Linked DNA regions of Astyanax mexicanus. The protein of the gene in region 4 purifies or fractionates together with the protein of the main gene of each other region. This does not show direct contact. Links are inferred from orthologs where the notes say so. Each region holds a gene or a part of one and is shown on either strand. Other genes may lie near its edges. The genes, in order: anapc1, kif20a, anapc7 and mad2l1.

What was found.
Region 1: the proteins of mad2l1 (region 4) and anapc1 purify together in Homo sapiens (affinity purification with mass spectrometry; 3 studies listed by BioGRID and IntAct, with this or other methods). This does not show direct contact. The link is inferred for Astyanax mexicanus from reciprocal best matches to the Homo sapiens genes MAD2L1 and ANAPC1.
Region 2: the proteins of mad2l1 (region 4) and kif20a purify together in Homo sapiens (affinity purification with mass spectrometry; 4 studies listed by BioGRID and IntAct, with this or other methods). This does not show direct contact. The link is inferred for Astyanax mexicanus from reciprocal best matches to the Homo sapiens genes MAD2L1 and KIF20A.
Region 3: the proteins of mad2l1 (region 4) and anapc7 purify together in Homo sapiens (affinity purification with mass spectrometry; 3 studies listed by BioGRID and IntAct, with this or other methods). This does not show direct contact. The link is inferred for Astyanax mexicanus from reciprocal best matches to the Homo sapiens genes MAD2L1 and ANAPC7.

The regions. Positions count from the first base shown.
Region 1 is NC_064414.1:12,396,201-12,403,078, reverse strand, and holds the start of anapc1 (anaphase-promoting complex subunit 1), read right to left. Parts: upstream 3,027-6,878; 5' UTR 2,656-3,026; coding exon 2,443-2,655; intron 698-2,442; coding exon 536-697; intron 1-535. UniProt on the Homo sapiens protein: Component of the anaphase promoting complex/cyclosome (APC/C), a cell cycle-regulated E3 ubiquitin ligase that controls progression through mitosis and the G1 phase of the cell cycle.
Region 2 is NC_064424.1:33,418,480-33,425,688, reverse strand, and holds the start of kif20a (kinesin-like protein KIF20A), read right to left. Parts: upstream 3,015-7,209; 5' UTR 2,834-3,014; intron 1-2,833. UniProt on the Homo sapiens protein: Mitotic kinesin required for chromosome passenger complex (CPC)-mediated cytokinesis. Following phosphorylation by PLK1, involved in recruitment of PLK1 to the central spindle. Interacts with guanosine triphosphate (GTP)-bound forms of RAB6A and RAB6B.
Region 3 is NC_064419.1:1,302,019-1,309,663, forward strand, and holds the start of anapc7 (anaphase-promoting complex subunit 7), read right to left. Parts: upstream 3,006-7,645; 5' UTR 2,888-3,005; coding exon 2,787-2,887; intron 1,970-2,786; coding exon 1,783-1,969; intron 987-1,782; coding exon 867-986; intron 783-866; coding exon 671-782; intron 6-670; coding exon 1-5. Other genes in the region: proline-rich protein HaeIII subfamily 1-like, read right to left, coding at 6,480-6,652, 6,755-7,016; rapgef1a (rap guanine nucleotide exchange factor 1), read right to left, coding at 7,370-7,520. UniProt on the Homo sapiens protein: Component of the anaphase promoting complex/cyclosome (APC/C), a cell cycle-regulated E3 ubiquitin ligase that controls progression through mitosis and the G1 phase of the cell cycle.
Region 4 is NC_064415.1:32,658,449-32,665,799, reverse strand, and holds the start of mad2l1 (mitotic spindle assembly checkpoint protein MAD2A), read left to right. Parts: upstream 1-4,338; 5' UTR 4,339-4,433; coding exon 4,434-4,497; intron 4,498-5,164; coding exon 5,165-5,311; intron 5,312-6,574; coding exon 6,575-6,695; intron 6,696-6,809; coding exon 6,810-6,913; intron 6,914-7,351. UniProt on the Homo sapiens protein: Component of the spindle-assembly checkpoint that prevents the onset of anaphase until all chromosomes are properly aligned at the metaphase plate.

The DNA.
Region 1 (6,878 bases), on a different chromosome or scaffold from region 4:
ACATATATATATATATATATATACACACGTGGGTGTATATATATATATATATATATATATATATATATATATATATATATATATATATATATATATACGTATATATATATATATATATATATATACATACACGTGTGTATATATATATATATATATATATATATATATTGCACACTTTCTGCAAATCCTTCATTTCACCTTTCAAATTTCACTGTGTTTATCTGCTATATGACATATTTAACTGAAATTGCTAATGAATATAATGAAAAGTATCAGGGGTGCCCAAACTTTTTCATACCACTGTATTTAAAGCATGACTATATAGCAATTTTATATCTTAACTGCTAATAACAGTTTATTAGCTGCTAGCTATTTCAATTTGATTTTATTTCTTCTTCTCTGTAATCTTTGCAAATATTGTTTTAATTAAGAAAGATGCTTATTATTATTACTATTGTTCTTGTATTATTCTTGCTATTTATTGCTCTTATTATAAGGGAAATTACTCAAAAAAGTCTATGAATATTGGCAATACCTGCTGCACTAGACTGTCCACTGTAAAAGCTTTATACACATTGGATGCTTGACTCTTGCTCCCCCGACTCCAGATAACCATATGTCCTGCCACGTACAGCTCCTCTTCATATTCAGCTTCATCAGTTGTGATGGTGGAACCCTTCCTAAGCTGCCAAGATTCCTGAAAAGTAAAGAAAATTTTAAAACAATGGATACTGTCCAAATTTCACCCCTGCTAAAATGCACATCAAAGTATTTTGCAAGATTTTGATGGTTTTACAATATATCACGTTTTTATATTATTATTATATATAGTTATAATATATAATAATAATAATAATAATAATATATATATATATATATATATATTATAATATATAGTTATACACAAGTTTAATATCAAATAAAACTATATTATTATATAAAAGCCATTAGAGGCATTAAAGTATTTAAGCAGCTGCTTATTAGTTTATCACAATTTTACTTCTACTTTCAGTTCACTGTGCATTTTTATCCTTCAAGTTACAGTATTAATATATTTAAACAGGGCTTAAGTTACTCATATTGTAATCAGCAACAGCAGAAGCTCCAGTCAGGACAGTGTGCGACCTCACTGAGCGGTGTTAGCTTGTTATGCTAAATGGTTAGCCCTAGCTAGCGAGCTCTGCTAGGGTGCTTTTTTGCCGGCACTGTTCTACACAGCACCCTGCAGCGCCTCTAGCGGCATGGCGGCATGTGAAAAATGCATACCGGTTCTAAATTCCCCTCATGTATACTGTATACAATTCTGTCATTAATGTAACGTAGTCCACTCAAGCATATTGAGTACTTTACTGTAGCGTACTGTACTGTAGTCTAGTGCAGTGTACTTTGTCTACTGTAGTGTAGTTAAACAACCTGCATGCTGCTCTGTAATGTAGTGTACTCTGTAGTGTAGTGCAGTGTACTGTAGTCTACTGTAGTTAGGCAATCTGCATAGTTTACTGTACTGTAGTACTGTAGTGTAGTAAAGTGCACTGTACTGTAGTGCAGTGTCGTTAAGCAATATGTGTAATGTAGTGTGCTTAGAGTATTAAAGTTGTCTGTGGTGCAGTGGTGTACTGTTCTTTAGTGTAATGTAAGGTAGCGTACTGTCCTTTAGTGTAATGCAGTGTATTTCAGCACAGTGTTGTGTACTGTACTTTAGTGTAATGTAGTGTACTCCAGCACAGTGTTGTGTACTATACTTTAGTGTAATGTAGTGTACTCCAGTGCAGTGTTGTGTACTGTACTTTAGTGTAATATAGTGTACTCCAGTGCAGTGTTGTGTACTGTACTTTAGTGTAATATAGTGTACTCCAGCACAGTGTTGTGTACTGTACTTCAGTGTAATGTAGTGTACTCCAGCACAGTGTTGTGTACTGTACTTCAGTGTAATGTAGTGTACTCCAGCGCAGTGTTGTGTACTGTACTTTAGTGTAATGTAGTGTACTCCAGCAGTGTTGTGTACTGTACTTTAGTGTAATGTAGTGTACTCCAGCGCAGTGTTGTGTACTGTACTTTAGTGTAACACAGTGTACTCCAGCGCAGTGTTGTGTACTATACTTTAGTGTAATGTAGTGTACTCCAGCGCAGTGTTGTGTACTGTACTTTAGTGAAACACAGTGTACTCCAGCGCAGTGTTGTGTACTATACTTTAGTGTAATGTAGTCTACTCCAGCGCAGTGTTGTGTACTGTACTTTAGTGTAATATAGTGTACTCCAATGTAGTGTTGTGTACTGTACTTTAGCGTAACACAGTGTACTCCAGCGCAGTGTTGTGTACTGTACTTTATTGTAATGTAGTGTACTCCAGCGCAGTGTTGTGTACTATACTTTAGTGTAACACAGTGTACTCCAGCGCAGTGTTGTGTACTGTACTTTAGTGTACAGCCTACTGTAGTGTACCTTCTGGCGCTCCTGGAGGCTGACCTCCTGGAGGGACCCCACGAGTCCGGCCGCTCCATCCGAGGACCAGAGCTCTGAGGCGGGCTGCAGCTGGCGCAGCTGGAGGTTCACGGCGTTCGGGTGGTTCTTGCAGTGCTCACGACCGAACGGGACAAACGGCTGCAGTTCCCCGGCGGCTATCATTGCGGCTCTCTCTTCATACACGTTCGACATGAGTTCCCAGTATCAGCATTATTTCTCCCACAGACATTAAAACAGCAGCGGCGGACCTCAGCGGCTCTACGCGCCCGGCCTCACAGCGGCAGCGGGCTAGGCTAAGTTGGGCTAGGCTAAGCTAAGCTAAGCTAGCATTAGCAGCGGAGCTACCAAACCATTTTCTTCAGCAAGCCCGCTAATAAACAACAGTCCGGCTCCTCTCTCTGAGCTCCCTCCTCTTCTCCAGCCGGGTCTCCCGCCGTTGCAGCGCGCGGAGAGTGAAGCACAGGGCGCAAACTGTCTAAAACCACCGCTAAACTGCAGCAAACCAGTAAACACACATTTTCAAACGCACGCGGACATCTTGCTTTCCCGTGATACTCGCGCTGCGAGTGCGGCCAATCACAGCGTCCGCCGCAGTCCCGCTGATCTCAACACGAGCCTCACGGTGATAGCGCATATTATATAAATCAGATATTCCTAAACACATGATTTATATATCTACAGATCCACACAGCGACCAGAAACACATTCTACTCCTGTTACTTTTCTCTTCTTCACACAACCGGTGATAGCTAACTAACTGATCAATATCTCCTCAACAGGTACAGTAACGTTACCACCCAAAAGTTTGGACACGCATTAAATTCAGTGTTTTTTTCTGTATTTTAAAATGTTCTGCATTGTAGATTTATAGTAAAGTCACTAAAACTATGAAGTAAAACATCTGGAATTATCTAGTAAACAATGAAATGTCAAACAAACCAGAATATGTTTTGTATTTTAGATCTTGCAAACTAGAACCTTTTGCTTAGATGACAGCTTTGCACATCTTGGCATTTTCTCAGTGACCTAGCTGGCACTGAGGTTGAAATATGGTGGAAGAAATGTCTGTTGTTGCTTCAACAGACGTTAAATGGTAGTGCAAATGTTGAATTTTTAACGTTGACTTAACATAATGTCCTCAACCTTCTGCCTTTTCAATTAACATTTTTCATTTAATCAGCATACAGTTTTAAAAAATGGTTAAATATAGGGATGAAAAAGTGTTTTTACTTACATTTGCAGTAATTGCTTTTTAATTTGCCACCAATTATTCACCGTATTTGGAGGTATGTTCATGTTCTATTTGTTTTACTGTTGTGTTTTTGAGATTAAATGTTGAATCAGATTGGTAAACATTCTTTTATACCCAGCTTTAGCACAGTGATGTAAGTTTATTGTGAACACTGTTAACAATATGATTTTCTAGTTTTAGCTACTTGTAGTAATTGCTACTTCTCATAGATGTATATCCAGAGAGAGGGAGAATAAAAATAAAATTGTTAATTTTTCATCATGGCATACAGTTTTTTTCCCTTTCATACAACTTTGAGCATCCCGAATGTGAGCTATGGTTTATCTAAGGTTGAACATATGACGTTGAAACAACGTTGCCATATCAACATTGATTCACTTTGCAAAATCAACACCATATCAACACCATGATTCAACATCAACATGGATTCAATGTTGAAATGTCAGCTGGGTAGCTTTTTGAGGTAGTCACCTGGAATGGCTTTCACTTAACAGCTTAATGAAACTGGCTATCATTAGGATCGCTCAAGAAAAGGAAGACCAAGAATAACCATCAGATAGCAGAGTATTTTGTTTTTTTTCTACAAGTTTACTACATGATTATTTATGTGTTCCTTTATCTGGATGACCTAAGAAAAAAATAAAAACATTAAATACAAATGTGTACCAAAACTTTTGACTGGTACAATCACTGAACATGGATGTCACAGCAATGGTGAGCATTTTTAAGGAATACTTGCAACTGTTATTGCTCTGGCACACAATACGTGTACAATATCTTTAATAATAAAAACATACTTTGGTGCACATGTTTGAATTATGTGAGTTTTCTAATCAACACAAGATTAAAAGTAAAAAATATAAATACACCTACCTAGCAACCAGGCTGGCGTGAGTTAGCTGCAATGCTAACAGCTGGCCACTTTGTCTGGGTCTCAAAAAAGCTGTTTATCCCCCTCAGGTAAAAGGAAATGGGTTTGAATAAGTAGAATAAGCATGGTGATGTGGCACCTTTCTTTGGGACAGCTGTGCTGCTAATTTAAAAGTGTATGGAATTTTGAAGAAAGAGGACTACCTCCAGGTTCTTCTGAATAACCTTAGATTATCAGCTAGACTGGTGGAAACAGGATACAATTGGATGTTTCAACAATACTATTATCCCAAACACACATGAAAAGTGGTTGTGGAGAGAATTAATCAGACTTTAATATTAAGCTTTTAGAATGGCCTTTCCGAAGAGCCACATCTCAACTCTGCACTGTTGTTCCTTCAGGCTCACACACAGTATTACTATGTAATCAGTTACCTTGTTTTAACAGCAACCACAGAAGAGGTTGATCTACAACAGGTCAGAAAAACCATGAATAACCCTGTGGACCAGCACAGGATTTATGGTTAGTAAGTCACAGTTTAGCCCTTGAGTGATACTTAATGAGTGTCAGTGGGCTTTGAGACAGCTGCAAATTGATCTCTAAAGCAATTTAGTATATAACATGTTCTTTAATTGCAATACAGGGTGTTATTCATGCATGTGTGTGTGAAAAAGAGAGAGAGAGTATGATTTGGTTGTGCTCAGATCAGTCTGCGTCACTGAGTGATATAGCAGGTGTCTGAGGGGACGAAGAAGAGTCACGATTCCTCAGTTTAAGTAAAAATCCGTTTTGGTTCTCCCAGTCCAGAAACAGCAGGGCAGCAGTGAACAGCATGATGACTCAGGGTGCGGAAATGTTCTGTCAATTAAATCTGACCTTGTTTATTTTTATCAGGTCTCTTATTATTACGTATTTTGTACTTTATGTTTGATGTGCCTGATGAAAAATCCAATGTAAGTCTAGCAAGTGGCTGACCACCAGTCAGATCGAGTGTCTCAGCCCTCGGTAGGCAGAAGCAGTTTCTCAATGCACAAGTACACAAGTCTGGACTCCCGTACTTGGCAAGTACAGACTTTGGAAGATCAACTCGCAAGTGCGTACTTTCGAGGACAGGAGGAAGCAGGACGGTTGTTGTGTAATTGGAACAGCTGTGTACTTGATGACGTCAACCCTTAGAGGAGCGGAAAGCGTTGTTCCAAAAATGTAGGAGCAAATTTTCACCTCGCAGCTTTCTTAATAAATAAACTACATATCTACATACAAATCTAAACCCCTACATTCTCACCTAAAAATAACTTAAAACATTATTTAGCACACAGCAGTACTATTTTAAAAACGTAGAGGTGCTTTCAGTTATGTACCTTCTCCTCCGCCAATACGCTGATACTCCTGCGAGGTGCATTCTGGGATATCGGGCTGTGAGAAGTGCTAACAAGTCACCTTCCATGCATCCTAGATAGAGTGGTAGGAGCAAGAACACATCCGAGTATTTGTTGTGTACTTGGCTAACTGCGATCTTTTAATTGGAACAGTACTTGGGCTGCGACTGATGACATTTCACGAGTCCACAAGAAAAGAACACAAGCACAGACAAGAATGCAGATTGAGAAACGGTCAGAGATTAGTGTGGCATAGTGGCTTAGTGTTTAAAATGTTTTACTCCCAGTGTTGGGGTCTTGGGTTCAACTCCCTTTCTGGGTGGAGTTTCTGTGCTCTGCCACTCTGGTCTGCTCTGTCTTGCCTTGATGCTAGCTTTGTTTCTTTGCTTTTTTTTACTTCTCAGCTTCTACATTTATCTCTGTTTTCTTCTACTTTGCTCATCACACTTATCAATCCACTTTTAACTCTGGACTGTTGGAGGAAATTTTATTAGGAAAATCTATTTATATAGCGTTTTTTACACCTAATACCTTACACCTTTGTACTCAAAGAAGATTTCCCAACACTTCAGTGACAGCAGAGACACACAGAACCTGTGGCAGGGTATCCAGTCTATCACAGGCTATAAACCACATCCACAGACCTGCGACAGCGACACATCTCTGCTGAACGACCTGAATGGGTTCTTCGCAAGGTTCGAGCCACTCAACAACACACCCGCCCAGAAATCCATCCTTCCTCCTGGTGACCAGGTGCTGACGCTGTCCCCAGACAGTGTGAGGAGAGCATTCAGCAGGATCAATGCTCGGAAAGCTCCTGGGCCTGACAACATTCCTGGCCGTGTGCTGAGAGACTGTGCCTGGGAACTCGCAGAGGTTTATACTGACATTTATAACACCTCTCTGAGTCAGG
Region 2 (7,209 bases), on a different chromosome or scaffold from region 4:
CCCAAAATTTTCTCAAAGTAGAAGACTAGTACTCTTCAGATCATGTGTATTTGGTCTGGCCCAATATGAAAAAGTCCTTCAAAATCACACTGGAACATCAGCTTTACATAAAAAATATTGTGCATTATGGATCGGTATGCTATGTTGCCAGTTCATTTTAAAGTATAAAATCAGCTCGGGCCAGGCTAATTCCAGGTTTTCCTTAAAGGAGAAGACTAGTTCTCTTCAGATCATGTGTATTTGTTCTGGCCCAAGATTAAAAAGTCCTTCAAAATCACACTAGAACATCAGCTTTATATTCAATTTCTTTGTGCATTATGGATCGTTATTCCATGTTGCCAGTTCATTTTAAAGTATAAAATCAGCTTGGGCCAGGCTAATTCCAGGTTTTTCTTAAAGTAGAAGACTAGTACTCTTCAGATCATGTGTATTTGGTCTGGCCCAAGATTAAAAGGTCCTTCAAAATCACACTAGAACATCAGCTTTAAATTAAACTTTTTTGTGCCTTATGGATCGGTATGCCATGTGCCAGTTCATTTTAAAGTATAAAATCAGCTCGGGCCAGGCTAATTCCAGGCTTTCCCTAAAGTAGAAGACTAGTACTCTTTAGATCATGTGTATTTGTTCTGGCCCAAGATGAAAAAGTCCTTCAAAATCACACTAGAACATCAGCTTTACATAAAAAAATTGTGCTTTATGGATCGGTATTCCATGTTGCCAGTTCATTTTAAAGTATAAAATCAGCTTGGGCCAGGCTAATTCCAGGTTTTCCTTAAAGTAGAAGACTAGTACTCTTCAGATCAAGTGTATTTGGTCTGGCCCAAGATGATAAAGCCCTTCAAAATCACACTGGAACATCAGCTTTACATAAAGAAAAATTGTGCATTATGGATCGGTATTCCATATTGCCAGTTAATTTTAAAGTATAAAATCAGCTTGGGCCAGGCTATTTCCAGGTTTTCCTTAAAGTAGAAGACTAGTTCTCTTCAGATCATGTGTATTTGTTCTGGCCCAAGATTAAAAAAATCTTCAAAATTGTACTGGAACAGTGGCTTTTTTGTGCAAAATGGCTCGTTATACCATGTTGCCAATTCATTTTAAAGTATAAAATCAGCTTGGGCCAGGCTAATTCCAGGTTTGTCTTAAAGTAGAAGACTAGTACTCTTTAGATCATGTCTATTTGGTCTGGCCCAAGATTAAAAAGTCCTTCAAAATCACACTAGAACATCAGCTTTACATAAAAAAAATTGTGCATTATGGATCGGTATTCCATGTTGCCAGTTCATTTTAAAGTATAAAATCAGCTTGGGCCAGGCTATTTCCAGGTTTTCCTTAAAGTAGAAGACTAGTACTCTTTAGATCATGTGTATTTGGTCTGGCCCAAGATTAAAAAGTCCTTCAAAATCACACTAGAACATCAGCTTTATATTCAATTTTTTTGTGCATTATGGATCGGTAGGCCATGTTGCCAGTTAATTTTAAAGTATAAAATCAGCTTGGGCCAGGCTAATTCCAGGTTTTCCTTAAAGAAGAAGACTAGTACTCTTCAGATCATGTGTATTTGGTCTGGCCCAAGATTAAAAAGTCCTTCAAAATCACACTAGAACTTCAGCTTTAAATTAAACTTTTTTCTGCCTTATGGATCGGTATGCCATGTTGCCAGTTAATTTTAAAGTATAAAATCACCTTGGGCCAGGCTAATTCCAGGCTTTCCCTAAAGTAGAAGACTAGTACTCTTTAGATCATGTGTATTTGGTCTGGCCCAATATGAAAAAGTCCTTCAAAATCACACTGGAACATCAGCTTTACATAAAAAAATTGTGCATTATGGATCGGTATTCCATGTTGCCAGTTAATTTTAAAGTATAAAATCAGCTTGGGCCAGGCTAATTCCAGGTTTTCCTTAAAGAAGAAGAGTAGTACTCTTCAGATCATGTGTATTTGGTCTGGCCCAACATGAAAAAGTTCTTCAAAATCACACTTGAACATCTGCCTCATTTTTTTGAGCGCAATGGCTTTTAAAATATAATTTTATTAAATATATATTTAATTATTTATTGTAATATATAATTATAAATTCAGTAATTAAAACAAATATTTTACAATATACAAAATTACATTTAATAATATATTGTATATTTACATTGTTAATAAACAGATGTACTGCTTTTCTTCATTCTATCTCCTTCAGTGTTGATCTGTGAGGTGTTTAATATAAACAGCGGGTGTTTGTGAACGCTCCCTTTAGTTCACGGTGGTTCAGTGTAGCGGCAGCTGCGAATATCAAACCAACTTCAGCCGGGGAATACGAGGCTGCGAATATCGAGCCAAACGAATCTGGAGCTGCGAATATCAAACCAACTTCAGCCTCGTCACACTTAAGACATGCAAATTAGAAGCGTCATTGTTTTCTGTACTTGTTAGACGTTGGTAACATTTTTAATAAGTACAGTGACTAACACTGAAACCTGTTAGCGAGCTTTAAATAATACATATAGCCTCATGTGTTTGTGCAGAGAGGAAAAGTGACTAAAAACAGAAATTACTCTCCTACTGTGGGTTAAACCGTCCAACCGATCAGTAGTCACTTTCGTTAGTTAGTAACCTAGTTAGCTAGCGTTAGTTACTTTAACTAGTTAAGATAGATTGGTTAGCTATTATTATTGTTTCTAAATCAGCCAAGCAATAGTTGTGTCTGTTTATTTGTCAGGTTTAACTACTTTACTTCGCTGAGTTTACATAAACACTGCTATCTAGCTAATGCTAAAGCTAGCCCAGACTGCTGTTCCTCGTGTATTTAACGTTATACATCAAGATTTGGGCTTATTCTTACCTTTGCTGTTCTTAATCTGTAGTTCTTCGGCCAAAATACCCGCGGACCTGACTGCTAAACCTCTTCCTTATACCTATCTTTATCTCTGCTGTGTTAAACTACTGAAAGCTAACCTCACTACTGTAGTTACTGAACCTCTCGCTGCCTCCCGACCGACTCTCACCAACGTATTCAAACATCGCGCTGAGCCCCCTCCGCCTATCCCTGTGCGCCGACCTCAGCCAATCAGAAGCGCAGGGGCGGCCGCCGCAGATGCTGATTGGTGAGCAGCACAGTGACGGTTTGAATTTAACCAACGAAATCCAGTAACAGTACTGCAGATGTAAAATGTTCCATTCCACCTTAAATGGAATAAACTACATGTGACAGCAGCACCATTTAAGGTGGATTGGGAAATTAGGTTCCTTTTCTGGATATTTCTGGTGGACAAATAAAACGCAGCAGCTCCAAACCGGCGTAAACAACAACAACAAAGCGCACTAGAACCTTAAAGGTGAAAACAGAATGAAATGAAACCCATGAAAGTAAAATCATAAAGTCTGTGGTCAGTGTTTTTTTCTGTAACTAACAATATATAACATTAGAATATACCAAAATAAACATAATTCCAGTGATCAATAAGTGGGTTTATCTGTAAAACAATACAGAAGATTAGAATAAATCATCAAATCTGTTTTATTTCTATAGCTCTTTTCCAAAAATGTGGTACCAGGACAGAAGAAATAAAACTTAAAATATAAACCCTTCCATATAAACCCTTCCAGTGAGTAGCAGCAACAAGGAAAAACTCCAACATAAGTGCTGTAAGAAAAAGGAAGTACCCAGGGTCACAAAGGTACTTTACAAAGCAAGGTACAGGTACATGGCTGGCCTTACTGCAGTTCTTTCCTGTTCCCAATAAAAAAAAAGTGTTTTTACAATTTAAAAGAAATGTAACAATGACAATAATACAGCACCTTAAAATGTAACTGATTGGGATCATCATATTTTTGTTGGCAGAAGGAATGGCAACAAAATGCTTTAATACAATTTTTATTGTGTGTTTCAGGTCTGAAATGCAGGAATGGGGAATGGATGTACCATATTAAATTCAACATTCAACCGACAAAATGTGTAAAATACAAGTGAAAATATAAGCAATAAACAATAAGTCTACCACCCCGTGGAGCTGGCCGCAAGATATATTTTTTTCATGAAATTTATGTTGGATATGGTTCTACTGTCACAACTGGTATATATGTGGCCAACCTAGATGCCTCAGAGTGCAGAGAAATTAACAATTAACAGCCATTGTCAACACAAGGTGTCTGCTTTGCACAGAAAAATGACATTTGTAAGCCAGTGTAAGTTAAGTGCAGAGTAAGCAAAGACACATCAGGTTCAAGGTCAGTTCAGGAATATCTCAAGACAGGTCTCAAGTCAGTACAAGCAGGTCTAAAGTGAAGTTGTCATGTCAGTACAGGCAAGTCTCCAGATCAGTCACTAGTCAGTACAGACGGTTCTTCAGCCAGTACAGGCTAGTCTCTAGAGGAGTGTTAAATCACTACATACACTATTTTACCAAAAGTATATGCTCACCCATCCAAATCATCATCATTATAGGATCCCATCTGTGCACAAAGTTGTAAAATTTACTGCATGAAAACTGCATGAAGACCTCAAGATTCTCTCAAGAACAGTAGAGCGCTTCCTGAAATAGGTGTCAATGTCCAAGCAGCGGCATTCAAGCCTTACATCACCAAAATCAATGTAGGCATGCAGAAACGTTTGTGTAAAATAATAGACTATAAGTCTTGAACTACTACAAGGTAGTAGTGCAGAGACAGCACAGTCTAAAGTTGACTACATAGAGCGTTTTCACAGCAGCACTATTTGGTCCGGTTAAAACGAACTCTGGTCTGTTTGTAACTTTAGTGCGGTTCGATTGAGCAGGTGTGAAAACAGTAATCGCACTCGGGTGCGGATCAAAAGAACCGGACCGAGACCAGCTAGCCAAACGAACTCTGGAGCGGTTCGCTTGTGGTGAGAATGTGATCCGGTCTCGATCGGATCCAGCTATTAAATATAAGCCATTTATTTGAGCTAAACTTCTGATAAAGCAAGCACAGTTTAAACTGATATATTAGCCAGATAACGCTGATTACCACAGCTGTGAACAAACACTGTCCATGCACGCGCCGTCTGCGCTGCATTCACTGCTCGCAGCCGCGTGACTCTGTTTATTATGTATAAATCTGCGCTGCACGGAGAAACACTGTGTTTGAAAGTGCAGTGTTTCAGCGTTCATTGTTAAAGCACAGATATTTGCGCTGGAACACAAAATCTTCTCGCTGTCTTTACTTTTTTCGTATATTTATATTTAACATACTCCCGTGTCAGACAGCTCTGACCAATCAGAGGACACAGGCTGCTCGCGTGGTTTATTGATGTGCATTTCGGTGTGTTTACATTTATGCCTATGTGAAGCCAGACCGAACAGAGCGAGAAAACGCTCCAAGTAAACAAACTCATTAACTGATTCGGACCAGAGAAACGAACTTTAGGTGTGAAAACGCCCTTAGACTGCATTGCACCGCTGCTTTTTAGCACACTAAATGCTATTTAAAACACTGGACACAAAAATGATTGGACTGGCAATATTGCAGTTTATTGATTTGAAGATTTTGGAGATTAAATGAACATCATAGACATACGAAAACAGAAAAGCAGCCTATATTATATTATATTACATTTGGCAGACGCTTATATTGATAACTGTGGATAGATTGGAGTTTATGCGCAATAAGAGCATTCTGGCGCTTTAATTTGGAGGCCACATTCCATCGGTATATCCTACACAAATATGGTAACCAAGGCTGTCTTGTCTTGTCGTTGGGTTTGCCTGATCTGAGAACAGGTTTGACTTGCTTTGTCAGTAGGCATATATTTAGTGAAGCCAAGAAGTACATGAAACATGAAATAAAAAACAAGGTTTGTGAAAGGATTACTGTGCAGCCACAGACTTAAGCCTTGATTAACTCACTTATTCCACTCACTGACTCTCACTGAGTTGCAGCTGTGTACAGCTAACAAAGTGCTATTAAAACTACCAAACTCAGAGCTAGGCAAAGGTTCAAATTCTTTAAAAAAGCACCATGAGCTACCACCACTGATACACGCACTGATTAATTAACATTTTCTTTCACAATATTACAAATTTGCAAAAAGCTTTAATGAAAACTGGTGTTAAATCAAGGTTGAGCAGTGACTTGGGTCTGATTCTAGCTCACAGTGTTGATAATGGCTAATCTATATTACACAGACAAACTGAGGAATTGGAGCGAAGCCTGAATCCAGCATGTACTGGTTCAGTGAATGTGTGGTGTATGGTGTGTATGTGGATGGGTGTGTCTGAGCTGGGTGAGATGTTGTAGAAGGACAGTGTACCCGCCGCCCAGTCCAGAAACACTCCCATTCTGTGAGAGGGGGACGGAGGTGTGGATATGGGAGTAAGATGACAATTGTGCCAAAGAGCGTAATCAGCATTAATAAACCCCTCCAGACTCCAGGACTGATTCCAGGCCCCAAAAAGACTTTTCAATCCAAAGTCTTTCCTTGCTATTCCTTTATACGACACAGTCATAGCCGCCCCCCTCCCATCCCACTCAGCCTCCCAGTAGCAGCGTCCAGTCAGACTCTCCACACTAAGAACCTGTTTGATGTTGTCAAATCTGTCTGGATGTTCTGGATACATCTGATACTCCCAAGACCTCTTCGCCTTTCTGTTTCCCTCAGACAGAGTAAGACAAGGGTGTATTGTGTTTTGGTCCAGTGTGAGTGCGCAGGCATCTGTACACACAAATAATACAAGATTAGAAAATAACAAACAAACAAAATGCTATATGTGGATGTGTGGAACTTACATTTTTTTAGTCCTGGTTTCATCCAGATCTTCCCTCTATGTTCCACTCTAAGGAAGAAAGAAAACAAACATTTACAAAATCTAGCTTTACAACTTCAACGAAACCTTGCTGCATTACCTCCTCACACACTGCAGCAGGATCACGGTTACAGCTTTGAATAAATTAAATATCAATAATGGAAATCGGTTGACAACTATTTACTTTGTCTTTTACTATCAAATATGATTCATCACGTTATGAGGGCACCTATAGAGCTCCTAATTCTAAGGCGCACTATCAATGAACGTCTATTTGCTGGTGTATTATAATTTGGTGCACCAGAATATAAGGTGCATTTACGCGACAATAGTAAGGAACAAGGGTGTCGTCATGTTTCCCTTCTAATTCTAAGTAAACAAAACTGTAATTCTTAAAAAAATATATTTTCAAGTCAAACAAGCACTGGATGTTAATTTACACAGATTTCTCTCCTGG
Region 3 (7,645 bases), on a different chromosome or scaffold from region 4:
CAGCCCTGCAAACACAGAGACAAGCACAGAGACGCACAGAGAGAGACAAACAGAGAGAGACGCACATAGAGACACAAAGAAAGACGAACAGATTAACAGAGTCACACAGAAAGATGCAAATAATGAGAGACAAACAGAGAGACGCACAGAGACAAACAGAGAGACGCACAGAGACAAACAGAGTGAAGCATAGAGACAAACAGAGAGACGCATAGAGACAAACAGAGAGACGCACAGAGACAAACAGAGAGACACACAGAGAAAAACAGAGTGAAGCATAGAGACAAACAGAGAGATGCACAGAGACAAACAGAAAGACGCACAGAGACAAACAGAGAGACGCACAGAGACAAACAGAGAGACGCACAGAGACAAACAGAAAGACGCAAATAATGACGAACAGAGAGACGAACAGAGAGACAAACAGAAGCACAGAGACAGGAACACAGAGAGAAGCAAAGGAAGATGAAGAGAGAGACGAAAAGAGAGAGACAAACAGAGAGACGCAAAGAGAGACACAAATAAAGATGAACAGAGAGACAAAGAAAGAAGCAGAGAGAGAAGCACAGAGACGCAAACTTTTCTTAGTAACATTTCTCAAAATCAATCCATTTTTTTGGCTTAAATTTGTATAAATTAGTGTTAATATTTTATTAGCAATATTACTCACCAATAATGGCATCGAGAGCGAGAGGACACTGACGCAGAACCTCCTTGTAGCTCGTAACAGCTGAGCGCTCCTGACCCGCCTTCCGGTACAGATTCGCCAGCATCATGTTAATCTGTTGGGATCAGATTAAATATACAAATAGAAATCACTCTCACAAAAAAACAACCAATCAGAGATCAATAGAAAGAGAAGACACCTTGGGGGTTCTCTGCCTGGAGGGAATCCCATCCAGCACGGAGATAGCGTCTTTATCCAGCTTCAGAATGGTGTAGCACTCCGCTATCTTATACTTCACCTCAATCTCTGAGGGCAAATTCTGTAAAATATTAATAAACACATTAAATACTTAAAGATTTAATTTCACTAGAAAGCACGTAGTAATTGATCTTTTTTAAAATACAGTAGGTCACTGAGTTAAACATGAAACTGTTCTTCTACTCTTATTGTCTGCATTAACCGATTAAAAAAAAACAAACAAATAGAAAAACAAGTGAATTGGGAAAAGCCCCCGGACTGACATCAACCTGTAACTAAGGATTCATGGCCTTGTTAGCCAATCAGAGGCAAGGCATTTGCATGGAATGAATATACTCATAAATAAAAGCTGAAAATGCTACCTTTCTTCCTCGCCCACTCCTCCACTGAACTAAAACAGCCTGAAACAGGAGCACCGGAGTACTTTTTTTTTTTTTTTTTTTTTTTACAAAAAATAATGGACACACTTTGTCAGTTCTATATTTTCATTTTTAGGTGTATATCATAATCTATAAAATATTTTTTTTCCATTAAAGCCTCCTTTTTTTAACTGTACTTTTCTTTTTTTTATTTTTTTTTTATATTCTTACATCAGGTTCATTTTCACTTTTCATAGAGATCAACTTTATTCAAATGAGCAATAGCGGCCACATTGGATCTAACCAATCAGGCAAGAGTAGACGGGTACATCACACACATACAAGCATCAGACATTTAGTTTGGTGGCCTTTTGGTATAGAATTTTGAAACCAAAAATGTCCTTTTCCTTAATTTTATCAGATACTCAATATAAAAAAGTCTCAGTATGTTAAATAAAGCAGTGTATCATTACATCACTACGGGAGCTGAGGTCTGACCTGAGTCTGTACGGAGGACGAGCCGCCGCTGCTGGACGGTCTCACTTTAGAGGCTTTGCTCAGCACTTTCTTCTGCTGCAGGGCCATGTTGTATTTGCAGGCTGCGTTTCTGTACTCCTTATCATGGAAGATGGAATCAGCGTGATACACCAGCAGCTGATACTTCTGAGCCGGAGAAAAGAGCTCCCTGTAGGAACAAGAACATTACATTTTATTATATTACATTTACAGATATTTACATCTAGATCTGATACAGTTCAGAAAACAGAACCGTGTTCTGATACCTGAATATCTACATTCAGTTTCAAACACAAAACAGAGATTGTCTATATGGGTGAAAAACTACCAACTATGAAGCTGAGAGAAGATGAAGAAACACAAATTAAGAACCATCACACAAATATCAGACATAGTCAGAACAACAGTTTAAAATGTCCTGAAGAAGAAAGTCGTCACTGGTGTACTACATAACAGGTGATGAACAGGTAGATTAGTATTCGGGTATCTGGTTATTTAGGTATGTATTTAGTTAGTTATTTAGGTTGAGGTGAGGTAACACCCATGGGTTATGTAGTTAGTTAGTTAGTTAGTTATGTAGTTAGTTATTTAGTTTAAGGTAAGTTCAGACTTTCGGGTTGTTGGAGCTCATGGTCAGCAGATATTTAGGTATTTAATTTAGTTATTTAAGTATTTAGTTATTTATTGAGGTATTTGGTAATTTGTACTCACGGGATGTTGGAGCTCATGGTCAGCAGCAGGTTAGTTAGTTAGTTAGTTAGTTATATACTTAGTTATGTAGGTATTTATGTATTTAGTTATTGAGTTATTTTGTAATTTAGATAGATATTTGGGTATTTGTACTCACGGGTTGTTGGCGCTCATGGTCAGCAGCAGGTTAGTTATTTATTTAGTATAGTTAGTTAATTAGTTATTTATTTAGTTAGTTAGTTAGTTAGATTAAGGTGATATTAATATTATTTAGGTATTTGGGTATTTGTACTCACGGGTTGTTGGAGCTCATGGTCAGCAGAAGGCTGCTCAGGATCCGGACATTAGAGTAAAGGCCGGCGGCCGCCATGTCCCGAACATAATCAATAACACTCATCTTCAGCTGATTAACTGATAAAACTGATAAAACTGATCAGAAATAATCAGAGTTTAATCCGCAGCGCTGAGAAACACAACGCAGATCAAAAGCGACAATTTCAAAATGGAAGGGAAGTGTTGCGCAGTTACATTTCAAAATAAAAGTCCCCACAGTCTGGTAGCCCAGTGTTTAATATAACTTACATTATTTATTTACATGTAGCTCATAGCTTATTGCACGTGTTTATAATATTATTATTAATAATAATAATAATAATAATAATAATAATAATAATAATGATACATTGAGACCCCTTCACTTCCGTTTCTGAATCAGTAAAAATATTGTAATTTAGAGCATTTATTTGCGGACATAAAAAAAATAATGCAAAGAAAACAAGTTCATATTCATAAAGTTTTAAGAGTTCAGAAATCAATATTTGGTGGAATAACCGTGGTGGTTTTTAATCAGTTTTTAAATCATACATCTTGGCATCATGTTCTCCTCCACCAGTCTTACACACTGCTTTTGGATAACTTTATGCTGCTTTACTCCTGGTGTAAAAATTCAAGCAGTTCAGTTTGGTGGTTTGATGGTTTGTGATCATCCATCTTCCTCTTGATTTTATTCCAGAGGTTTTTAATTTGGTAAAATCAAAGAAACTCATCATTTATAAGTGCTCTCTTATATTTTCCAGAGCTGTGTATGTGTGTACTCACCTCCAGCCGGCAGTATAAACTCTGTTTACTCCTTCTTTTCAGCCATGCTTTCATTTATATAATTTTTAAAAAGGATACAATATGAATATGTGAGGTCAAATATTTCAAATATTTGCAGAAAAATATTTTTTTTTTATCGAAACTTATTACATGTATAATACATTACATTTATGGCATTTAGCTGATGCTCTTATCTAGAGCGACTTAAGCCCTATCTGGACGGAATTAGTTTCTCAGGAGGTTCTGGGTAATTTAGCCTAAAAACTCACTGATCCTCCTGTTTTTTCAATTGCAGTACAGGTGCAGGAGTTTTGAAATATTTTTCACAGACGTCCCCCTGAGAAACTAATCCCATCCGGATAGAGCTTAACAAGGTTAATTCTATTACGGATTTGGGCCAATAAGAGTCCTTGGGCAAGACTCCCATTAGTGTAGCGCAGCATTCAGTTACCCAAACCTGGAATTGAACCCGAGTCTTCCACATGGTAGCTCATTGGCAGGTGGTGGTGTTATCCACTACACCACACACACACTAACTTAAATGAACACTTTTTTATTTTTACTTTCACTTGCCCCCTCCAGTTCCTAAAGTCATCATTACTTCTTAATTCCACATGGTGGAGCTATAATCAAATGAATAGGGTTAATAATCCTGTGTGAAGAATACTGGTTGTGAAATTCTGTGAAACTGAAACACCAAAAAATCCATAATTCCCGGTATTTACTTATTTTTAGGAGTATTTTTTCCTATTCAGTAACACAGATGCTGTGAAGTATCATAGAGAATTGTATTGCAATGTACTGAGTATCGCAGAAACACAGTATTGTGAAATCATTGTTATTGTGGACAATGTATTATTATTGTGATATCATATAGTCAGACATATGGTGGTGATCATCCATCAAATTAGAACGTCTTCCCGAGACAGTTAGTCCAGCAAAAGCAGTATAAACTAAATTTTAATACCCTCGATTCAGGTAAAAACAATAAAACAAACAGGTGTCCCAACAATTTTAAACATATAGTGCATCAGTTGCATTGATTATTTACTGGGACCTTGAACTACACAGCATTTGAATGAATTTTTTCCATTAACCAGAAAAATATAAAGCTCTGTAAAAAATGAAGAGATCACATCAGTTTCTGAATCAGTTTCTCTGATTTTACTATTTATAGGTTTATGTTTGAGTAAAATGAACATTGTTTTTTTGTATGCATCTTGGCATCATGTTCTCCTTCTTCTCCTCCACCAGTCTTACACACTGCTTCAAGCAGTTCAGTTTGGTGGTTTGGTGGTTTGTGATCATCCATCTTCCTCTTGATTATATTCCAGAGGTTTTCAATTTGGTAAAATCAAAGAAACTCATCATTTTTAAGTGCTCTCTTATTTTTATTTTATTTTTTACAAAGCTGTATATAGTTCAGGACTAAGCCTAAGCCCTGTTTGAAAGGAAACCAGCACTGTAACATCATTTCTAGTAACAAATTAGTCTCCTGCCATTGTACCGATTCTTTTATTCATTTAGTTTCAGACTCAGACCTTACTTAGGTCATTTTTATTTATTTGTTGTAACCACTATTTAATCCCAGCACTTTCATACCGTTTAGAGAAAGGGAGAATAAATCTCTCCGAAAGTGTCCTTAATATAAAATCCGTATAAAAAACACCACCACAATAAACAAAAGGAGAAGACTTATATTATATAAAAATAAAGAACACAAATCACGCCACCAGTTCAACAGCTTTAGGCACTTGGTATCAGGTTGTGTGTGAGCTCTGTTGTAGTTAAATAACAAAAAATGGACTTCAGAAGTGTAACATACATATACAACATATACAGCTCTGGAAAAAATGAAGAGAGCACTTAAAATGATGAGTTTCTTTGATTTTACTAAATTAAAAACCTCTGGAATATAATCAAGAGGAAGATGGATGATCACAAACCATCAAACCACCAAACTGAACTGCTTGAATTTTTACACCAGGAGTAAAGCAGCATAAAGTTATCCAAAAGCAGTGTGTAAGACTGGTGGAGGAGAACATGATGCCAAGATGCATTAAAAAAAACTGATTCAGAAACTAAAGTGGTCTCTTCATTTTTTCCAGAGCTTTATAAAACAGTCAATCATATGAATGTGTTTCTACAGTACATTTGCTATGATGGATATTTAATGGCATTAAACTACACACTTTACATCAGAGGACCGACTCAAAAACACAATCTTTTTCCTGAAAAAAGCAATTTTAATAAATACGGTTGGAAGACTTGGTTGGAGGTGTGTTTCATCAATGGGTCATTCATACACACAACATTGAACAGGAAGAATGACAAGAGAAAGAGGACAAAACCAGCAAACCAGCGTAATCCAGGTAAACCAGTCCAGGTAACTGGTGTTATCTCAGCAACAGGGGCAACAGAAATCTCCATGATAAGGAAAAGGCCCTGGTTAAAATCCCAGGAAAGTGCTAAACTGGTTGAAATGATCGAAAGCATTTGGTTCATAATAATAATAATAATAGTACTATTATTAATAATAATAACAATAAGTAACAACCACTGCCTGCAGATACCAAGACCTAGTGCCAAATGCTGAAAGCTGTGAAAACAGCGACTGTAAATAAACAAACACTCATAAAAACACTCCTTCTAAACTTCTAAAGTTCTTAGTAAACAGTCGTCCATGTGCATTGTTTTCCACGTATTGTTCCATGTATAAAAAACTCCACGTTTATTGTTCAAACTTCTTGTTTTTGACGTCTTCACAATTCAAAGCCATTTATTTCCACAGAAACTGATGTCACTGTGTCACAGGCAGGGGGCGCTCTAGAGACAGTGTGTCCACAGAGCCTGAGAAAAGAGTCATAACAGCATGTCCAGATGAAGAAGTCTTATCGCATCGAGTTCCTCATTAAAACGTCCAACATAAATCTTGTTAACAGAGGAGGTTCTCGACCCAGAGGAGGAAGATCTCGACCCGGAGGCAGAGGAGGTTCTCGACCCAGAGGAGGAGGAGGTTCTCGACCCAGAGGAGGAGGAGGTTCTCGACCCAGAGGAGGAGGAGGTTCTCGACCCAGAGGAGGAGGAGGAGGTTCTCGACCCAGAGGAGGAGGAGGAGGTTCTCGACCCAGAGGAGGAGGAGGTTCTCGACCCGGAGGAGGAGGAGGTTCTCGACCCAGAGGAGGAGGAGGATCTCGACCCAGAGGAGGAGGAGGATCTCGACCCAAAGGAGGAGGAGGACCTCGACGCAGAAGAGGAGGTCTCCACCCAGATGAGGGTCTCCACCCAGATGAGGGTCTCCACCCAGATGAGGGTCTTGAACCCTGAGGAGGAGGATCTCGACCCAAAGAAGGAGGTTCTCGACCCAGAGAAGGATCTCCACCCAGAGGAAGGGGGAGGATCTCGACCAAGAAGAGGATCTCAACCATAGAGTAGAAGGATCCAGGCCCAGCAGATGAGGATCTCGAACCCAGAGGAGAAGGTTCTCCCTTTAGAAGAGGATCCAGACCCAGAGAAGGAGGATCTTGACCCAGAATCTTTGCTCTCTGAGGTCTCCCTCACTCCAACATTTACACAGGTCGAGATGCAGTGCAATCCCGAGATATATTATATATATAAAAAAGCAAATTTGTCCTGTAAACTGTAGCGGAAATGCAGTCCTGCTCCCCCGTCCCAGTCTCGTAGCTGCCGTCACGCCGCCGTCGCCCCAACCGTTTCTTCTCGTGGTTTCCGTCCACACAGCCTTTCTTTACCCAGAGTTCTGCTGGAGGAGAAGGAACCCCTATGTCTTCTCCTCGCGCTCTGTTTTGCGGCGGGTGATGTTGCGAGGCTTGATCTTCAGTGAGAGCTCCCATAACGCCTCCTCCGCCAGATGATCACTGAAGTCGTTGAAGAAGGACACGATGTCATCATTGTGTTTGAGGTCATAATGCCTGCAATAGACAAAAACAATAAAACACGAATTAGATTTGATTAAAGATCAGGTTTCTATACTGAATATACAGTTTCTGAATCAGTTTCTCTGATTTTACTATTTATAGGTTTATGTTTGAGTAAA
Region 4 (7,351 bases):
TTCCGACCCTGAAGGGCTCTGGTGTTGATTGGATTTAAACATTTGACCTCTTTTGACTCCTGGAACCCCCCTTTTGACTGGGTTTACATTACCCAGTTTTCAGAGACAGACTGTTTATTTTTGGTTTTATTAGTAATTACTTTACAGGCGATTTTTTACTTCTACCCCTTACATTTTCACACAATTATTTGAACTTTCTACTCCTTTAAAACTCCATTTTAAAAACAGCCTTGTTACTCCTGCCATTTCAGCTTGTTTTGGTTCCGGCTTTTCATCGCTCAAAAAAAAAAAAACTCTCAGATGAATCTCTCCATTCAGATAAAGCAAATCTGATTGTGGTTGGATGAGAAGAATAAACATATACCATTCTGACACCCTATTGGTTCATGCAAAATTCATCCATATGCACGTCATGTCACTCCAGCAAGTTTATAGATTTTTTTGGTTTCTACTGCATGTTTGTATCAATTTTCAAACAATATTTTACAGTGACATAGTCTTAAAATGAAAAAAAAAAAACAGTTTAAAAGAATATCATTATCAGAAAAATACCATTAAATATTGTGACATTATTTTAGGTCAATATCGTCCACCACTATCTCAGCTTCTTTTGTATTTTAATTTGTATATTATTTTAATCTTATGCAGTTTATATGCATGCACTACACATATTGCTTTTTGAGTTAAGTTTGTTCTTTATGTTTTAATTTTAGTTAATGCCGTTTATTTGCAAGCACTACATTTATTGTTTTTTAGTTTAGTTTTCTTTTTGTCTTTTATTTGAATATTATTTTAATTTTTGCAGTTTATGTACATGCACTGCAGTTAGTTTGCATTTTATATTTTATTTGCATTTATTTTATTTTTATGCACTGCATATTTTGCTCTTTAGTTTTGTGGTCGATTTTTTTTGTTTCACAATAAACATTTAAAAAATATTTTGCTGTAGAATATAATTGAAATATTTGAAAAGTAATATACTTGTAAGTATTAAAGCATTTTTCAATAATATTTTTATTAGAAAAATAAAAAATATAATATTGTGATATTATTTAAGGGCAATGTCTTCCACTACTAATTTATCTCCTTTACTATTTGTAGTAGGCCTAACTTTTTTATTAGAGCAGAATGAATATTATGTACTGCATGGCCATAATCATATCAAAACTTCAAGACAGAGAGACAGACAGACAGCACGCCAGACAGACAGACAGACAGACAGACAGATAGCCAGACAGATGCTGCTGACTTACAGTAGGCCAGCAGAGCGCTGGAGAAATCCCCCTGAATTTCTTTCCTCAGTGATTCCCTCCTGCTGCTGCTGCTGGATCTCACATACTTTCTCTATGCAGTAATTGCACTCTTGGCTACTTATAGGCCAAAAACTCACTCTTTTCAGATCCCCACACTGAAAGACTTCTCCACTTGCATTTTGTGGCAACTTCACAGGTTTGCATGACAAACACGACATAATTAAATAAATCATGGAAAAATGTACCAGGGAAACTTTATGCCTGACATCAACCTTGGCAGGTGAGCCTTCATTGCATGGTGATGATGCACACTTTATGGAATTCTGTATGGAAAGGGGAAATCTGAATAATTCCATGCAGACTGTACAAAGTCTGTCGTATGGGAACAGACCTGCATAAGAAATTGTACAGTGATTGGAATCAGAAAAAAAAACATTTGTGATTTAGTGCATAATTAGTTTTAATCTCACTCATCTGCATCAGTTTACATTTCCTCCAAAATGAGTTCATGCTGACAGCTTGATTAAAATGTGTTCTTGATGAGACATGGATAGCAAAATTCAGGATTCAGTAACAATAAAATGAGTGATGAGTGAGTGACTGCTGCTGTGGAAGCACAGTCCCTGCCTACTATCAGCTTGTCGGCCTAAACTTCCACTCGCAAGCATTGTGAAAGCCAACTCCAACCCCAGTCATTACACTAATCTTTTCTTCTGTTTTGTCAAGTTATTTTGAATTTATTTTGTCCCTGTTGTAACTCTGTCTGCACTTAAGTCCTCCCTGGTGGAGGTTTCCATTAGGGAGTTAAGAATAAATGTAGCAGCAATCCCGAGATAAGTACCATCCTTTATTTTGCTTGCTGCTCTGTTACATAATATGTTTGTAAATAAAATATAGACATCAGAATTAATATGAAAAATAAAATAATACATGAAGTAGAGCAGGAAAGATCAACACAAAGGGCCCTTTTTCAGTGCAGATTGATTTAGGGAGTGTGAGTATGTTTTCACTATTATAACGATGGCAAAAGGCTTATATTAACTCCCTTAATCATAGGTATGTTTGGGCATAAAGTGCAATGAACAAATCTGTCTGCCTGCCACGGACTGTACTGCTCTCACAAAAAAACTCCATTTCCCAGGATACACCTGCCTCTAACCTCCCGGATGTTCCTGACCACGTGACGCCTCATGTGATTTCCCCTGTATATATAGCCCCTGTACTTTTGACCACTGTTTCCTATCCCTTTGTTTTGTTAGTCTTCTCATTGCAGACCTATTTTTGTATTATGACTACCCTTTTGCCCTTCTACTCATTATTGAATATACTGTGTATGACCTCCTTGCATACATACTCTGGTATGTTGCTTGTCTCTGCTGCCCTTTTGTTATTGACCTTGCCTGTCCCTGTCCATTCCCGTAAGCTTAGCACTTTTTAAATAAACTGTGCTTTTGGTATCTGCGTGTGTCTGTCGTGTGTTGCCCTCAAAGAGCCAGGTGTGATATAATCGTAACCTACATCTCTATTTAAATGACGCAGATGGAAGGTGTGAAAATAGACCCCTTAATGGGGTGCAAGATAACAATGAGCATTATATGACAAGGCTTGTGCACAGTGTATACATTTTAGTCAAAAAAACTAAGACTAAATCCAAATCACCTGTCAAAATTACCACTGCTAGACTACCAGCACAGGGTATTTTTTTTTCTGGATAACTATCTACAATGTAGAAAATAAATTAAATAAAGAAATAGAGAAAAACAGTAAAGAAAAATAAAGAAAAACATGAACTAAATTAAACTTTTGATTGGTACTATACATGTTTATTTAAATAGGATATTTGTTACAATAATAACAATACATTATTAAATTATTACTGTATTATTGTAATGTTATTGGTTATGACACTCAATTAAAATCAAATAGTTACAAATAAAAATGTATGTACTACATAGTATATAATTACAATGTAGAAATATATGAAACAATTTTATTTAACACTAAATACAAAATTACTACAAAAAACTCTCCTAGAAACGAAAAAGTTTAACTAAAAAATGCCATCAATTAACCCTTTCAGACCCTGCATCTATTTACAATGGAGCTGTTGTTCATTAGAATAGACCATGAATGAACCAGCCAATTAACAAGTTTATAAACCAATGAAACAGTAGCTTAGCCCCGCCCACTGAACTGGAAAAACAGTAGTACTAGTAGTAGCCATTGATTAGTAACAGTTTACTAATTTAATGTGATTTAGAACATTTAAATTTTTATTTTGCTGTTTGAGTAAGGTTTATGAAATAAAAAGGTAAATAAAAAATATATCTAAAACATTACACACAGACTTCCAATGCAATGGAAAAAAAAATAGTTAATAGGATTTATTTGCTATATAACTACATTTTATAGTAGAATATTATAGTCTTTTTTCTGTGCATTACAGATAGAAAACCGCATTCTTAAATATCTTTTCTTCACTGGAGATAATTTAGGTCTGAAATGGTCAGTGTAACGTTTATTAGTTTAATTGTCTGACAATTTAATGCTAAATTCGAAAATAGACAATTGAGGGTAAAACTCATTTTTTTTATTCTTACAATTTGGTGTAGTACAGAAGAATTGGGTTTAAATCAATTTTTCCAATTTTCTATTTTTTAATTTCTGCACCTACCAATTAAAATTTCAGGGAAAATGAAAAAAATGTATATATTTCTCTTTTTTTTTTCCCTTTTGTAACAGAGTTGCATTATAAACCATCAGATTTCAAGATACAAAAATGGAAAAATCTAAAAAAGAAAAAGAATCTAGAATCTAAAAAAGGCAGACATGATTGGAAAAGATTGGAAAAAAAAAACAACAAAAAATTCTTCTTCACCAAAGTAAATACAATAAATAAATAAATAAATAAATAAATAATTAATTAAGTTTTATACTTAATTTTCTATGTTTCTATGCTCTATTTTCTATGAAACAGTCAGAAAATTGAAGTGATAAGACGTTATGGATCAACAGAGCGGCTCTTCAGCGCTGACGCTGTGCGTAATGGCGTCATCAGCGTTGCGCTGTGTGTTTTGATGGTGCGCATGCGCGCCAGTTCAAACGCGCTCTGAATTCAAACTGAGCGGCGGGTGAAACACAGAGAGCAGCGCTGCTGAGAGAAACAATCGCGGCAGAGCCATGTCCAAAACACTGCAGGGAATCACGCTGAAAGGCAGCGCCGAGCTCGTGGCGGAGTTTTTCTGTAAGTCGAGCCGTTATTGTGTCCGTTTGTTTGAGAGAACCGGGGATGAACCGTCTTTAAACTGTAAACTGGCTGCGTGTGTAACGTTAGATAGACAAGGTTAGCTAACAGTTAGCTTAGCTTAGTTTAGCTAACATTAACTAGCGTTAAAATAGCTCCACCACGACTCCGTTTAATTTATATACAGTAATTCCGCTGGACACTAGTTAACCTACATTTAGTTGGTCGGTAAAACACTGAGAAGCCTCTTTTTTGTCGTGGTGAAACGTGTTTTTAACGGAGTCTAAACTGGCGGAGGGCGTGTTTAATTGTGCAAACCTTTTAACGTTAACGTGGGTTCGGTTGTCAGTGTTTTAGCACGACAGCAGTCGCGAGTTAACATAGCTAGTTAGTTGTATAGTTTTATGACAAGGTTCCCCGTACAGTTGTCTGTTAGCTAACTAGCTAACTAGATTACATTACACTTGTGGTCATGTGTCGAAAAGCCCCAGTTTCGTCATTATTTATAAATAAATGGCTGATCCTCCTCTGCATGGCCTGCTGTACAACCACAGCTAACACCACATACTGCTTTAGACAAAGTAATGATCATTTAAAAAGTTACTAAATTACTTAAGTCTGACTGATTTAAAGTATATATTTGTTCACTGTGTGTTTTTTTATACAGCGTTTGGGATCAACAGTATCCTGTACCAGAGAGGAATTTATCCTGCAGAGACTTTCTCCAGAGTCACACAGTATGATATGAGTCTTCAGCTCACTACAGACCCCAAGCTAAAGACCTACCTTACCAACGTTGTGACACAGCTCAAAGGTAGACTCACTGTTCACACTACTACTACTGCATTAAAAAATAGAACATTATTGAAATGTTACTTTATTTGAGTAATTCAGTTCAAAATGTAATACTCATAATAATAAAGGTGGAAAATAAAAATCTACATCTCCATAAAAGTTGTTAGCATTGGAAAGCATGTAGTGCTGTACGATTTTCCTGAAAAAACACCTGAACCTGATTTATCACAGTGGACCAACACCAGCAAATGACATGTCTCTCCAAACCATCCCTGATTGTGAAAACTTCACACTAGACCTCAAGCAGCTTGGACTGTGTGCCTCTTCACTGGTTTGGGTGGTTTGGAGAGTCTGCTGGTGTTGCTCCACTGTTTTATCAAGTCCGAAATCATTTCAGTGTTTTCCCGAAAACCATACAGCACTCCAGCTGGACTTGGCACACTTCTTACACTGCCAAAAGCATCAATTGGTCTTTATTTAATATTCTAAGTTTCTGGGATACTGATTTTTAATTTTTTAATTATTAACACTAAGAATAAACTCTTAAAAAATATCACTCTGTGTGTAATACATGTATATAATGAGTTTCACATTTTTAGCTAAAATACTGAAATGAAGTAACTTTTTAATTATATGCACTTTAAAATGCAACCACATAATATAGTAAATCCATAATATCTGTATCACCGTGCCACATGGAATGTCTTCCATATAACCCTAGATACAAGTAATAATCTTTGTATCTATCTATCTCTATCTATCTCTCTATCTATCTATCTAATAAAAATCTGAATTTTTCAAAGGTATGTGATTCTCAATAACAATTTCACAATAACTTCAGTTTATAAACAAACAGCACTATTTAAAGTGCACAATGAATTATTGCTTTCACATTTACTTTCAACAATTAAATACCTATCCCATTTTGAAAATTGCATTAGAACAGTAATTTCATTAATCAAATTAATTTGATTAAACTCCCAGCCCAGATATCTTTTTCTTTTTTTCTTTTCTTCTTTGTATAGATACATTGTAGTTTTTAGTCCATTATCATCTTTTTATGTGGCATGACAACTGTTTCACTGCTAATTGTACTGTGTGTGTGTGTGTGTATATATATATATATATATATATATATATATATATATATATATATATATATATATATATATATATATATATATATATATATATATATATAATTGTAAATAAAATACACTCATATTATAATATTGTTTGATCTTTGCTTTTTATCAATAAACGACTGACCTGTTTTCCACAGAGTGGCTGTTTGATTGCACAGTTCAGAAGCTGGTGGTGGTGATCACATGCCTTGAGACAAATGAAGTCCTGGAGAGATGGCAGTTTGACATTGAATGCGACAAGACTGCAAAGGATAGCAGGTATTATTATATTTGAGGAAATGTCAGTAGATTTGTCCTTATATTATTTGAAGTATCTGCAGGTGAAAGTTTGTGCAGTTGTTAATCTGATCTGTGGTGTGTTGCGTATTTTAGTGCTCCCAGAGAAAAGTCTATAAAAGCCATCCAGGAAGAAATCCGTTCTGTCATCAGACAAATCACAGCCACTGTCACCTTCTTGCCTTTACTGGAAACTGCATGTAAGTATTCTACCTTCTCATTAACTATGTGTCATGAATTACGTTCTTTGTTTCTATTATATTTAACTTGTACTATGAAACATGGTGGTTGAAAGTATGCAAATGTTCCATGTTACATAGGATGGCAAATGTGTGTATGTATATGTATATATGTATGTATGTATGTATGTGTATATATATATATATATATATATATATATATATATATATATATATATATATATATATATATATATATATATATATATATATATATATATATTTTTTTTTTTTTTTTTTAGTTTTGGTAAAGTGTAGTGACAACTAGCTCTCAAACCAAAATTTAAACATAAATACAGGTTTGTGAGAGAGATCTGTATTACTACTACATGGGTTTATAGATATAGATTATTGGGTTTATAGATAGGTATTAGAGTAAAGTCAGTAACTTTACTGTAA